Linked DNA regions of Struthio camelus. The protein of the gene in region 1 interacts with the protein of each later gene in a pairwise test. Links are inferred from orthologs where the notes say so. Each region holds a gene or a part of one and is shown on either strand. Other genes may lie near its edges.

Region 1 (6,964 bases):
CTATATGACATGTGGGAATGCATACCATTTAAGAACCAGACTGGGGGGAGAAAACGCACGTTAACATTGCTTTCAACATTTTTAAATTAACTTAATCACAAGTTGGGAAATTTTCTGAAAGTTGTTTTTAAGATGAACTTTTTTTTTCAGATGAGAAAGAATTAAAAGGTATGTTATTTTTTCCAGCGTATCTAGTACTTCCCTTATCTCTTCGTTTTCTTAGTGGCATAGAATTACAACCCCACATAAATGAATGGAGTTTATTATAACATCATCTCCTTTAAAAAGCAGTTTTGAGAAGCAGGAATAACAATTTTCAAAATAAATGAGTTTAGATTTAGGAATATTTTCTCTCCAATGCGCTGACATGGAGATACGAAGTATCTTCACTGTCAGTCTCTGAGCTGGACAATGCTGTCTTCCAGAATTTAGAAGGATGTTCCAGACCCTCCTTCTCACACTGGCCTAAGGCAGCCTGTATTAATTCATATGCTAGACAGAGCTGCTGGCGAAAAAAAAAGAAAGAAAGACAGAAGTATCTAGACAAAGGATAAGGTATTTGTGCAGAACGGGGAAGGAGTCCCACCTCAGAGGTGGCAATCGTGGCCTAGCCACTGTGAGGTGCAAATGTATTAGCATTTCTCAGATGTGTAAGGCTGCAACCTGTGGCAGAGACGGCGGCTGCATTGCCTTCCATGAGCAACCGACCGCTCCTCCGGGCGCGTGGTAAAGCACAGGTAGCATTACATATGAAACAGAAAATGGGGAGTCATAAAAAAAGAAAGGTAAAGATAAACAGGAAAGATAAATACAAATTTTCAACCTCTTGTACAAGTTATGAGTATCAAGATGAACTGACTGCCACTATGCAATCATGGAGTAAATCTGTCACACAACCTTTAGCTTTGTTGTTTGACTGTAACCCTATTCTAGGCAGGAGTACACAGCTGACTGCTTCTTTAACAAAGATGAAGAGAGAGCTTTCCACTGCCTAACCATTTTCTCCTTTATTTTTACTATCCAGTTATAGCCTTAGGCTGAGAGAAATATTCATGCTGTTCTCTCCAGTGTATATATTTTCTAAGGACTGCACCACTCTTATGCATATGCAAAAGTGTATACTTTGCATATTTACTTTCTTTATACAAAATACTGTGCCCTCTACATCATGTATTGCTTTCACTTCTGTGCAGATTCCCCCAAATTTATCATCTTCTCACATTCAGAATTTAATTCTGATTCAGATCTTTTAAGTAACAGTTATTCTAGAGATAACAGTTAATTATGATATTTCAAAATGTGTACATTAATATTTCAGTAGGCTCAACATTTTGAAATACTAGTCAAAGCAGCATGTTAGTCTTTTTGCTGGCGAAACAGAAGGATACTTTCAGTAGACAGGCTGTTAAAATACCTTTCAAAATACCATTCCAAACCCTTTTTACAGTATCTTTTCTTTGTCATAAGCCACAGTTTGGAAAACCATCTTTAATGGCTCATTCCTTAAAATAATTAAATATATTTAACAACAATAAGCTTCAGGGTCCTTAAATTAGTCCTTTGCATGAAGACAATGTGTTCATTTAAATCCCTCTTTAAAACATTCTTCTTCTATAAATCCTATTAGCAGTAATCTGCTACAGCTAGGTGCGCTTTTTAATTTTTTCAGACACCTAGAAAGCTTTGAGATCGACTGATCATTTGGTGTCTTATGTTTCTGAACCCTTTCAGAGATCTAATTTAGATTGTGTACTCTTTGTAGTCATGTCATCTTCCTCTGTGCATCCTCAGCACAACAGCGCAGCAGAAAAAAACAATGAAGCAGAAGATTTCTATACAGCCAAGTTAGCAGGGAGGGGCAAGATGGGACAAAACTGAAATTGGAAACTAACTGTATATTACAAATGTAAACTAGAGCAGGGATAATTCAGCTTTCCATTACTGCTACCCGCAGTGCGTTTTGCTCCGGGAACCACAGAGACTTATTTCTGAAAATCCTTGAGCAACCACTCCCATTCAAATTCAGAGTTCGCACTCGCAGGCTCCAGCCTTAAGGGAGGCTCGAGCAAGGCCTCAGCCCGCAGCGATGCAGCCTTCATCTGCATGAAGTGGGAGCACAGCACAATCTTAATTTCTATTCCTGGGACCCCAAATATTTTCTCAGGCTAAAAAAAGCGTTGTCCGATTATTGCTCAGAAAGGGAGATTAACACTTCTCAGAATCAGAGTCAAACGTGTGCAGCAAAAGACTTGAAAGGAAAGGGGCTTTCTGCTCTTCCCTGAGGGGCATGCAAAGTCTTCCTCGGAGGAAACAAGGGACCGCATTTTTCTTTCAGTTTTATCTAACAGGCACGTGAAAGGCAACTAGGACATCTGAAACCATCAATTAAACGTTGCAGGAATAAGTAAAAGTTAAAAAGAGGAAGAGGGAATTATTCAAAGGCTTATAAACTGTTAAGGAACACAAAAAAACCTCAGAAGAAGTAAGGTTTTTTTTTACATGTATACCGGAATGTTTCAGCACTAAACATCTGTGCGCTGAGTTCTGCCCACTATTTTTCCCTTGGTCAGCGAAAATAAGACAGTGCTCTTGGGGACTGCTGAATTTACTCCGCGTTTAGAAAAAGTGGCATTGCATATTATTGCCTCCAAAGCCAGGAAAAATGACCTGAAGAAAGACTAAACCAGCCCTGGCAAGGCACAAGCCTCTTCTCCAGAGCAGGCATGTGTGGAAGCTGGTTAATTGTTTGCAAGTTTCAGGCTGTTTCAAAGTGACTTCCTCTTGCAACATTGATTTTCTTTTCTAAACTCTCCAGTTCCCTCCACAAGGACAAACGTTTCCCTTCCCCTAGAGGGGACCCTGCCAGAGGATTGCCTGTGAGAAGAGGAAGCCCAGTTCCTGGAGGCAGGGCAGAAACTGTCCCCTACACCACAACTTGCTGCGACTGGCAGCCACACGAAGAGGGTTGATCCTTTCCACGACAGATTTCATTCTCAAAGACTGCTTTTTTTTCCTCCCCCCCTCTCTTTTTGGTCTTCTTTAACCATTTGTGGGAAAATCCTTCTTTGGCCACTCGTGGAAAATTCTTCCGGCGCTGCCCGCGCCATCCCCACTGCACGCGGTGGCGTTTCAAGAGAAAAACCAAGCGGCTGCAGAAGTCGGCAGGCAGCAGGAGCGCCCTTGTCCGCAGAGCACCTCCAGCTCCCGCCGGGCAGGCAAGCGAGCCCCGCGGATTAAAGCGGGAGGGAAGGCTGGGAAGTTTACAGCGGGGCAGAAAGAGGTTAAGAAAAATAAAAATAAAAATCAGCGGCAGCAGGAGAGGGGCCGCGAGGCGCACGGCAACACCGGCGGCGGAGGCCGCGCACCGCTCCGCGCCCCGCTCCGCGCCCCGCGGCGGGCCCCGCGGTGACGTCACGGCCCTCGGCCAATGGGCGGCGGGGGCGCCCTGATGCCAAGGCGGAAAGTTCCCCGCGGGTCGCCGGTTCGGTACCCCGGTCCGGCGAGCGCGGCCCCGGCGGCTCCTTCCCGGCGCTGCCCTCTGCCCCCCCCCCCCCGTTTCCTTTAAGCCTCCCGCCGGTACTTTCCCCAGCGCTTCCGCTGCCTGCCGAGGGGGATTTTCACTGGGGATGCCGGGTTTCCTGAGGTGTCGGGAAATGGGGGAGGGGATGGTGGGTTTGGGGGATACGAGGGGAGACCGTTTCCGCGGCGGGCGCAGGGCCCCGCCCAGCGGGAAGCCCCCGGCCCGCAGCAGCAGCGGCGGCGGCGGGGAGGCGCGGGAGGGCCGGGGCGGGCGGCGGCAGCGCTCCCGGGGTGCGAGGCAAGAGTTCAGGGAGCTCCTCCCGCGCCATCCCGGCAGCGGCAGCGGCAGGAAGGGCAGGGCGGGGGCGGGGGCTGTGTCGGGGGGGGGGGGCGGCGGGGGAGGGGCCGATGCTGCCGCCGCCGCCGCTGCCGCCGGGCGCAGCAGGCTGAGGGAAGGCAGGAGCGGAGCCGCCGCTGAGGGCCGGGGCCTTGGACGCGTCCGGCGCGGAGCGGCGCTGCGCGGTGGAGGAAGAGGAAGGGGAAAAGGGGGGGGGGAGGGAAGCCGGCCCCTCTCGGAGGACGCAGCCCGCATCCGCCCGCGGAAGGGAAGAGGGAAGGAAAGGGGTGAGCGAGCGGGCAGGCAGGCAGGCAGGCATCGCCGCCGCCGCCGAGACAAAGAAGCGGAGCCCGCCTGGGCTGGGAGCCTCCCCGCCGCTGCCATTACTAAGCGCCCCGCTGCCCGCCCGCCGGCCGAGGTAAGCGCGGCCGCGGGCAGGGCAGGGCGCGACGGGACCCGCCGCAAAGTTGTGGTGGCCGCCGCGGGCCGTTGGGGCGGCCGGAGCGGGGGGGGGGGGGGGGGCGGGGGTGGAGGAGGGGGGTGGGAGCGGCCGTTGGCAGGGCGAGGTGGGGCGGGGGGGGAGGGAGCTCGCGGCCCCCCCCCTCCTCCTCCCGGGGTGTGTGTGTGTGTGGGGGGGATTTACCTGCCGCGGGGGGGGGGGCGGGGGGGCGTTTTCTGTGCCACGTCCAGCCGCGGGCGTTGTGTGTGTGTGGGGGGGGGAAATGGAGGAGCAGAGGCGGCTCCTCCTCCTCCTCCTCATCCTCGCCGAGTTGGCCTGTGTGTGTTTGTGTGTGACAGCCGCCGCTTTGTGTCACCCGCCGTCCTGGCTGAGGGCCGGGGCGCCCCCCTCTGCGGGGGGGAAGGGGGTGTCAGGGCCGCCCCCGCGGGGCTCCGCTCCGGCCCGGCCCGGCCCGGCCCGGGGTGGCTGCTACCCGAGGGCAAAGATTAGGGAGATAAATAAAAATACTCGCCTAGAGATTGGCACGGAATAACCTCCGCCGACAAATAAAGTTGGCTTCGCCCGTGAGCTCGCGTTGGGCATGGGTAAATCTAGGGGAAATGCCCTTTTCTTTTTTTCCTCCTTCCTTTTTATTTTCTTTTGTTTTATTTTTTTTCCTTTTTCATTACGCGAGCCCTCTTGGGAGGAGGGCAGCCGGGTAGCACCGGCACCACCGTCAAAAGCGTTTAAAAAAAAAAAAAAAAGTTTTCTGGAGAATTATCCCTGGTATTCAGGGCATGGACAAAAGTGCTCTGTGTCCAAAAGCTGCTGCGGCGGCGGCTCGGTCCGGGGGAGTGGGCCGTATAAGTGCTTTAAAAGCGGTAGGTCGTTTCCATTAGTTAAATAAGGGAAACCCAGCGCCTGACACTGTTCGGAACAAAATACTGGAAACAAACGAGCTTTACCCCCTGCAGGGTGGGAATATTCTGGTAACTGTACCGCTATACTGTCGTTGCTTTCTCCCCCTGCCCCCCATTCCACTGGTTACTTTCAGCTTTAATAGATCTAAGCCTTCCCTTTCTCCCCCTCCGCTTTTTTTCTGAGGGATAGAGTGAACATTGGTATAATACGCCACATCAGTCGACACTGATGTTAACGTAGGTAAACGACAAAAAGCTGCAGCAGCACAACATAGGTAAATTACACCGTTTGTTCAAAACGTACCACCTCTCTGGGGCTATTGAGAGGAAAAATATTTGCGTTTATAAATCTTTTTACCCTGTTTTTAATTGACAGTGTGACCACACAAACAGCTACCTTTGCTGGCAGGTTGGGTACAGTGGCCCACCTCAGTTAAAGTTGTCAGATGAGGATTTGGCCTTGTAATTCAGGTTTGACTTGTGACCCGAATCATGTGTGCCTCTGTACTGTAGTTTGTATGCTAAGATCTCCCACTAGTTTTTTTTTATAGTGCATATGGCCTTCTGTGTTTATTAGAGCTATACTGTGAACCAAAAGTAGTTTAACTCCAAATCGTCCTGTTTGTTTGTTAGGTTAAAACTTGAACGCTAATTAAAGCTCAGCACAGATTTAAAGCATTGCTCCTCTGACTGGATTCAGTTTCTTTTACTTGCTCTGAAGCAACACTTGTTTCTGAGAGCCTACTCTTGTAACTGCTTAATGTAGGAGAATTAGAGGTCTCTTTCATGAAACATGGTAATGCCCTTATAAAAACAAATCTGCATGGCCTGACCACGCATGGTTTATATCACTGAGAGTTTGGCCTGGTGACTTAATATGGAGGAATTTGAAAGGGCTTACCGGGTGGGAGCTTATTAAGAACTTCTTTTCAAAAGTGCTAGTTCTACCACTGCTTTTTAGGGATCCTAAGCAGGCAGCACCATGTAGATAATGTTAATGCTACTGCGTTTTTGTTTTGAGGATTGTAACTTCTAACGTAAAATGACTTTGCTTCTTAGAAATACTGTTCTTAAAACTCTGGAAATTGAAATCTTCTGTCGGACCCAAGTAATAACATCTTAAGCTTTGTTACCCCAAGGAGAGATTGTTTTGTCTTTATAACTTTGTCTTCTTGAAACTTTGACAGAGGATGTCACTTTTGGGAACTGTGAATAAATGTAGAGATAGAAGGCACTTGTACCAGTCCAGACTGTAATTATCTGTTTCATGGCCTATGTTAAAATATTTTCTGTAGGCTGTAATTGTTCTCTCATTGCAATGTTAGCTGTTACATTGGCTTTTTACCTATAGTAGATGCTATTTCCAGTTGTTGTTATGATACAACGTTATACAAAATCTCCTTTTCTATATGTTTCCAATAATAACAGCAGAACTCTGCATGGTCGCCTGCATTGTGTTCGCACTACCGAATATCTGATTAATTTGAAACTCCAGCCCTTGGCTTGTTACTGCAATGAAAAGGGAACTTACTGTCCGTTTTCCCTCCTCACACTATTTTCTTCTATAGTTTCCTGGCTAGCTGTGTGAGAGTGTAAGGAAAGGTATTTGCTATCTTACGTGTCATCTCACAACTAATGTCTGCTAAAGAGGAGGAACAAGGTCAGCAGTCTCCTTTTTTTCCATCCCTTGTTTTTTTGTATCCTCTGTTGCTGTTGGTGTGCTGTTCTTTTGCAGTGCTCATGGCTTTC
Region 2 (7,417 bases), on another chromosome or scaffold:
CCCGCGTGTCCCCCCCCCGGCCCCCGGGACCCCCCAGCATCCAGGCGCACCCGGAGACCCCCCCGGGGACCCCCCCAGCACCCTAGGGTGCCCTGACACCCCCCCCGGGACCCCTCCCAGCACCCAGGGCCCCCCACCGGGGGGGCCCTTATAAGGGCAATTATATGACCCCCCACAGCACCCACGGGACCCCCCCTCAGCCCCACGGGACCCCCTGAGCACCTGGGGCACCCCAAGTCCCCCCCCAGCACCCTTGGGACCACCCCCCAACCCCACGGGACCCCTCCCAGCACCCAGAGCCCCCCAAGACCCCCCCAGGGCACTTCCATGACCCCCTCCCTCCACCTTTGGGACCCCCCCCCAGCACCTGCAGGATCCCCCCCCAGCACCCATGGGACCCTCCAGGCACTTCCATGACCCCCCCAGCACCCTTGGGACCCCCCCCAGCACCTACAGGACCCTCCGGCCCCCCCAGCACCCAAGGGCACCCTGGGGACCCCCCCCCAGCACCTACAGGACCCCCCGGCCTCCCCCAGCACCCAAGGGCACCCTAGGGACCCTCCCAGGCACCCATGGGAGCCCTCAGGCACTTCCATGACCCCCCCCAGCACCCTTGGGACCCCCCCCAGCACGTACAGGACCCCCCACCCCCTCCACAGCACCCAAGGGCACCCTGGGGATCCCCCCCAGGCACCCGTGGGAGCCCTCAGGCACTTCCATGACCCCCCCCAGCACCCTTGGGACCCCCCCCAGCACGTACAGGACCCCCCCACCCCCCCCAGCACCCAAGGGCACCCTGGGGACCCCCCCCCGGAGCGGGGCTCACCAGCGGGCCAGGGCGTCCTGCAGGGCGACGGTGAGCGCGTGGCCCAGGTGCAGGGAGCCCGTGACGTTGGGGGGGGGCAGCACCAGGCTCAGGCGCCGCTCGGCCCCCCCGGCCTGCGGGGAGGGGTCGGCGCTGAGACCGGGCGCCGCTCGGCGCAGCGACGGGGGCCGAGACGGGACACGGTGCGGGGAGGGGGTCGGCGCTGAGACCGGGCGCCGCTCGGCGCAGCGACGGGGGCCGAGACAGGACGCTGCGCGAGGTGGGGACGGGGCTGAGGCCCGGGCAGCGTTCGGCGCAGCGATGGGGCCGAGGCTGGAGGCAGCTTGGCGCAGGGACGGGGGCTGAGGCCAGGCAGCACTCGGCGCAGCGATGGGGGCTGAGACTGGGCAGTGCTCGGCGCAGGGATGGGGCTGAGGCCAGGCAGCGCTCGGCGCAGCGATGGGGGCTGAGACTGGGCAGTGCTCGGCGCAGGGACAGGGGCTGAGACCGGGCAGCACTCAGCGCAGGGACAGGGCTGAGGCCGGGCAGCACTCGGTGTAGCGATGGGGGCTGAGGCCGGGTAGCACTCAGCACAGGGACGGGGGCTGAGACCGGGCGCCGCTCGGCGCAGCGATGGGGGCTGAGACCGGGCAGCACTCAGCGCAGGGACAGGGCTGAAACTGGGCAGTGCTCGGCGCAGCGATGGGGGCTGAGGCCGGGTAGCACTCGGCGCAGCGATGGGGGCTGAGGCCGGGCGCTGCTCGGTGCACTCACCGGGGGCCGGGGGGCGAAGAGCCCCCGCCGCTCCCACCAGCTGTACCAGGCCGCCTCCACGTAGCGGGGGCTGTAGGCGGGCGGCAGCGGCTCCTCCACCCCTGCCGCGGCCCAGGGCGTCACCCCGCCGGCCCCCGCGTCACCCGCCCGTCACCCTGCCAGCCCCTGTGTCACCCGCTCGTCACCCTGCGTCACCCCGCCGGCCCCCGCGTCACCCGCCCGTCACCCTGCCAGCCCCTGTGTCACCCGCCCGTCACCCTGCGTCACCCCGCTGGCCCCTGCGTCACCCGCCCGTCACCCTGCCAGCCCCTGTGTCACCCGCCCGTCACCCTGCGTCACCCCGCCGGCCCCCGCGTCACCCGCCCGTCACCCTGCCAGCCTCTGTGTCACCCGCCCGTCACCCTGCGTCACCCCGCCGGCCCCCGCGTCACCCACCCGTCACCCGCCTGTCACCCCGCCAGCCCCTGCGTCACCCGCCCGTCACCCGCCTGTCACCCTGCCAGCCCCCGCGTCACCCGCCCGTCACCCCCGCGTCACCCCACCTGATCCCCGTGTCACCCACCCGGCACCTGCGTCACCCTGCCAGCCCCCGCTGTCACCCGTGTCACCCCGCCGGCCCCCGCATCACCCGCCTGTCACCCCGCCTGACCCCTGTGTCTCCCCACCTGTCACCTGTGTCACCCCGCCGGCCCCCGCGTCACCCTGCCCGTCACCTCACCTGTTGCCCCGTGTCCCCCCCGCCCCCCCGTACCCTTCCGCCCGTCGGGGCCCAGCGACCCGCCGTACTCCAGCTGCGCCTTGGGGGCCCAGGCCTTGGGGGGGGCAGCCGGTGCCTGGGGGCCGCGACACGCTGCGACACGCCGCGACACGCCGTGACACGCCACGACACGCCGCGACACGCCGCGACCCGCCCCGGCCCCTCTCCACCTCTCCCAGTCCCCCCCAGTCCCTCTCCCACCCCCCAGTCGCCCCCCAGTTCCCTTGAGCCCCCCCAGTCCCCCCCAGTCCCTCTCCCACCCCCCAGTCGCCCCCCAGTTCCCTTGAGCCCCCCCAGTCCCCTCCCAGTCCCTCTCCCACCCCCTAGTCGCCCCCCAGTCCCCCCGAGCCCCTCCCAGTCCCTCTCCCAGGCCCCCAGTGGCCTCCAGTTGCCCCCCAACCACCCCAGCTTCATCTCCCAGTGCCCCCCAGTGCCCCCCAGTGGCCCCCCCGGCGCACCTGGGCCCCGGCGCCCCCCAGCTGCGCCCGCTGCTGCCGCCGCCGCTGCCGCCGCTCCTTGTGGGCCCGGGCCTGGAGCTGGGCGCCGGCGGGGGGCCCGGCGGCCCCCCCCCCGCTGCGGCCCCGGCCCCCCCCGGGCCCCCCCCGCGCCCAGGGGCCCGCTCCGCTGCCGGCGCCCCGCAGAGCCCGCGCCAGCGCCGGGGCCGCCATGCTGCCTGGCGGGCGGCGGGGCGCTGAGGGCCCAGGCGCCCGGGTGGGTGCCCCCCTCCCCCCCACCAGCGAGGGGCCCAGGCGTCCGGGCACCTCCCCCCGCCCAGGGACCCCCGGGTGCCCTCCCCCACGAGGGGCCCAGGCATCCAGGTGCCCTCCCCCGGGGGGCCCAGGCGTCCGGGCACCTCTCCCCCCAGGGACCCCCGTGTGCTCCCCCCCGGAGGGCCCAGGCGTCTGGGTGTTGCCCCCCCCCCAGGGACCCCCGTGTGCCCTCCCCCCAAGGGGCCCAGGTGTCCGGGCAGCTCCCCTCCTGGAGACCCCGGTGACCCGCCCCCCACGAGGGGCCCAGGTGTCCGGGTGTCCCCCCCCCCGGGGACCCCCTTGTGCCCTCCCCCCTGGGGGGCCCAGGCGTCCGGGCAGCTCCCCCACCCAAGGGACCCCGGCGTCCCCTCCCCGCCCCAGGGGCCCAGGTGTCCGGCTGTCCACCCCCCCCAGGGGCCCAGGTGTCCGGGTGTCCCCCCGCCAGGGGCCCAGGTGTCCGGCTGTCCACCCCCCCCCCAGGGGCCCAGGTGTCCGGGTGTCCACCCCCCCCCCCAGGGGCCCAGGTGTCCGGGTGTCCACCCCCCCCAGGGGCCCAGGTGTCCGGGTGTCCCCCTCCCCAGGGGCCCAGGTGTCCGGCTGTCCACCCCCCCCCCAGGGGCCCAGGTGTCCGGGTGTCCCCCCCCCCAGGGGCCCAGGTGTCCGGGTGTCCACCCCCCCCCCCAGGGGCCCAGGTGTCCGGGTGTCCCCCCCCCAGGGGCCCAGGTGTCCGGCTGTCCCCCGCCCCCCCCCAGGGGCCCAGGTGTCCGGGTGTCCCCCGCCCCCCCCGGGGGGGCCCAGGTGTCCGGGTGTCCCCCCCCCAGGGGCCCAGGTGTCCGGGTGTCCCCCGCCCCCCCCGGGGGGCCCAGGCGTCCGGCTCGGGCTCTCTCTCACCTTGGCGCGCGCGGCGGTGGCGGCAGTGCCGGCGGGGGCGGGGCCCGGCGAGGAGAAGGGGGCGGGGCCCGGCGCGGCCCCACGTGGTCCCGCGCGGGGCAGGGCGGGAAGGGGGCGGGGCCGAGCCGGGAGCCGGGGCGCGCGGTGAGACGGGGGCGATGGGGGGGGGGCGGCGGGACCCCGGGTGCCACCGTGTCCCCGACCCCGGTCACCCCGTGTCACCCCGTGTCACCCCGTGTCACCCCGTCCCCCCTCCGTCACCCCGTGTCACCCCATCTCCCCCGGATCACCCGGTGTCACCTCGTTCCCCCCCCCCGGGTCACCCAGTGTCACCCCATCTCCCCCTCCCGGTCACCCAGTGTCACCTCGTCTCCCCCCCGGGTCACCCAGTGTCACCCCATCTCCCCCTCCCGGTCACCCAGTGTCACCCCGTCCCCCCCCCGGGTCACCCCGTGTCACCCCATCTGCCCTCGGTCACCCAGTGTCACCCCATCTCTCCCTCCCGGTCACCCAGTGTCACCCTGTTCCTCCCCCCGGATCACCCCATGTCACCCCATCCGCCCTCGGTCACCCAGTGTCACCCCATCTCCCCCTCCCGGTCACCCAGTGTCACCTCATCTCCCCCTCGGTCACCCCGTGTCACCCCATGTCCCCCTCCCGGTCACCCAGTGTCACCTCGTCTCCCCCCGGGTCACCCCGGGTCACCTCATGTCCTCCTTGGGTCTCCCCCCCCCAGTTCACCTGGTGCCACCCCATCTCCCCCTCCCGGTCACCCAGTGTCACCCCGTCCCCCCCAGGTCACCTGATGCCACCCCCCTACGTCACCCAGTGTCACCCTGTGCTCCCATCACCCAGCGCCGGTCACCCTGGTCATCCGGTGTCACCTTATCTCCTCCTTGGGTTTGCCCTCCGGCTCACCTGATGTCACCCTCCCCGGTCACCCAGTGTCACCCCATCCCCCCTCCCCGTCACCCGGTGTCACCCCGTCCCCCCTCCCCGGTCACCCGGTGTCACCCCCCCATCTCCCGCCGGGACTCACCGCGCCGCGCTCTTTCTCCCCTCCTGCCAGGTGTCCCCGTCGGCCGTGTCCCCGTCGGCGGTGGCGGGGTGCCCGTCGGCCGTGTCCCCGCCGCCCCCCGCCATGGAGGGGCCCCCCCGGGTGCCGCGGGGGCAGCTGCAGTGCAAGAACCTGCCCGAGTTCCTGCAGGGGCTCAGCCCGGCCCTGCTCGACCGCCTCTACGGCCACCCGGCCACCTGCCTGGCCGTCTTCCGGTGAGACCCCCCCCGGGCACCCCCCCCGGGCACCCCGACCCCCCCCCCGGGCACCCTGACCCCCCCCAGAGCACCCCCACCCCGTCCCGGGGCACCCCGACCCCGGCCCGGCCCTGCTCGACCGCCTCTACGGCCACCCGGCCACCTGCCTGGCCGTCTTCCGGTGAGACCCCCCCCCGGGCACCCCCCGGGGCACCCCGACCCCCCCCCCGGGCACCCCGACCCCCCCCCCCGGGCACCCCGACCCCCCCCAGAGCACCCCCACCCCGTCCCGGGGCACCCCGACCCCGGCCCGGCCCTGCTCGACCGCCTCTACGGCCACCCGGCCACCTGCCTGGCCGTCTTCCGGTGAGACCCCCCCCCGGGCACCCCCCGGGGCACCCCGACCCCCCCTCGGGGCACCCTGACCCCCCCCCGGGCACCCTGACCCCCCCCAGAGCACCCCGACCCTCCCCGAAGCACCCCAACCTCCTCCAGGAACACCCTGACCCCCTCCCAAGCCCATCCCAGACCCCTTGACCCCCCCCCCAAGGCCCTCCGATCCCCTCGGAGCCCCCTGACCCCCCCCAGGAGCCCCCTGAGCCCCCCATAGGCCCCCCCACTCCCCCTCAGGCACCCCGACCTCCCCCCAGGAGCACCCTGACACCCCCTCGGGTGCTCCCCCCCACCCCCCTCGGGCACCCCTGACACCCCCTGGAGCACCCCAACCCCCCCCGCCCGGCCCCCCACTCCCCCCCAGGCACCCTGACACCCCCAGCAGCACCCTGACCCCCCCCAGAGTCCCTTGAGCCCCCTGACTCCCCCCCAGGAGCACCCCGACCCCCCCCCTCGGAGTCCCCAGAGCCCCCTCAGCCCCCCAGGAGCACCCTGACTGCTCCCCTGGAGCCCCCCGACACCCTTAGGGGCCCCCTGACCCCCCCAGCCCCCCAACTCCCCCCCAGGAGCATCCTGACACCCCGCAGGAGCACCCTGAGCACCCCATGGGCACCCTGACCCCCCCAGGAGCACCCTGAGCCCCCCATAGGCCCCCCCCACCCCCGCAGGCACCTCGACCTCCCCCTTAGGGGCCCCCTGACCCCCCCCCAGGAGCACCCTGACCCCCCCCAGCCCCCCAACTCCCCCCCCAGGAGCATCCTGACACCCCGCAGGAGCACTCTGAGCACCCCATGGGCCCCCCCCAGGCGCTCTGACCTCCCCCTTAGGGGTCCCCTGACCCCCCCCCGGGCGCCCCCGACCCCCCCGGGCGCCCCCGACACCCACCCACGCCCCCCCCCCCCGCGGCGCAGGGAGCTGCCGGGGCTGGCGCAGGCCGGGGTGCTGCGCATGCTCTTCGTGGAGCAGCCCCTGCCCCAGGCCGCCGTGGGTCTCTGGGTCAAGAAGGAGCACAGCAGGTGGGGCGGGGGCTCCCGCGGGGGCCGGGGGGCTCCCGGCGGGGTCCCGGCGGCGGGCTGGGGGTCCCGGGGGGCTCCCGCGGGGGCCGGGGGGCTCCCGGCGGGGTCCCAGTGGCGGGCTGGGGGTCCCAAGGGCACCCATGGGTGAGCTGGGGGTCCTGGGGAGTACCTGAAAGATGGGCTGGGGGGGGTCCCAGGGGCACCCATGGGTGGGCTGGGGGTCCTGGGGGTGCTCATGAGTGAGCTGGGGGGGTCCCAGGAGGCACCCATGGGTGGGGTGGGGGTCCTGGGGCTGCCCGTGGGTGCTAGACCATGTCTGAGGGTGGGCTGGGGGTCCTGGGGGAAACCCGTGGGTTCCAGGGGACATCTGAGGGTGGGCTGGGAGGTCCCGGGGGCACCCGAGGGGGGGTGGCGGGTGGCAGGGGACTCTTGTGGGTCCCAGGGGGCACCTGGGGGTGGACTGGGGGTGCTGGGGGTGAGCCGGGGGTGGGCGGCGGGTGCCAGGGGAGCCCACGGGTACCGCGGGACACCCGTGGGTGGGCTGGGGGTGAGCCGGGGGTGGGCGGCGGGTGCCAGGGGAGCCCGCGGGTACCGCGGGACACCCGTGGGTGGGCTGGGGGTGAGCCGGGGGTGGGCGGCGGGTGCCAGGGGAGCCCGCGGGTACCGCGGGACACCCGTGGGTGGGCTGGGGGTGAGCCGGGGGTGGGCGGCGGGTGCCAGGGGAGCCCGCGGGTACCGCGGGACACCCGTGGGTGGGCTGGGGGTGAGCCGGGGGTGG

What was found.
Region 2: the proteins of NCK2 (region 1) and VARS2 interact in binary tests that used the Homo sapiens proteins (3 or more experiments, as listed by UniProt). The two-hybrid records come from large-scale screens. The link is inferred for Struthio camelus from reciprocal best matches to the Homo sapiens genes NCK2 and VARS2.

What each region holds. Positions count from the first base shown.
Region 1 is NC_090942.1:154,296,049-154,303,012, forward strand, and holds the start of NCK2 (cytoplasmic protein NCK2), read left to right. Parts: upstream 1-3,911; 5' UTR 3,912-4,274; intron 4,275-6,964. UniProt on the Homo sapiens protein: Adapter protein which associates with tyrosine-phosphorylated growth factor receptors or their cellular substrates. Maintains low levels of EIF2S1 phosphorylation by promoting its dephosphorylation by PP1.
Region 2 is NC_090977.1:635,544-642,960, reverse strand, and holds the start of VARS2 (valine--tRNA ligase, mitochondrial), read right to left. Parts: upstream 3,005-7,417; coding exon 2,795-3,004; intron 2,560-2,794; coding exon 2,331-2,559; intron 1,681-2,330; coding exon 1,580-1,680; intron 940-1,579; coding exon 827-939; intron 1-826. Other genes in the region: GTF2H4 (general transcription factor IIH subunit 4), read left to right, coding at 5,118-5,248, 6,535-6,639. UniProt on the Homo sapiens protein: Catalyzes the attachment of valine to tRNA(Val) in a two-step reaction: valine is first activated by ATP to form Val-AMP and then transferred to the acceptor end of tRNA(Val).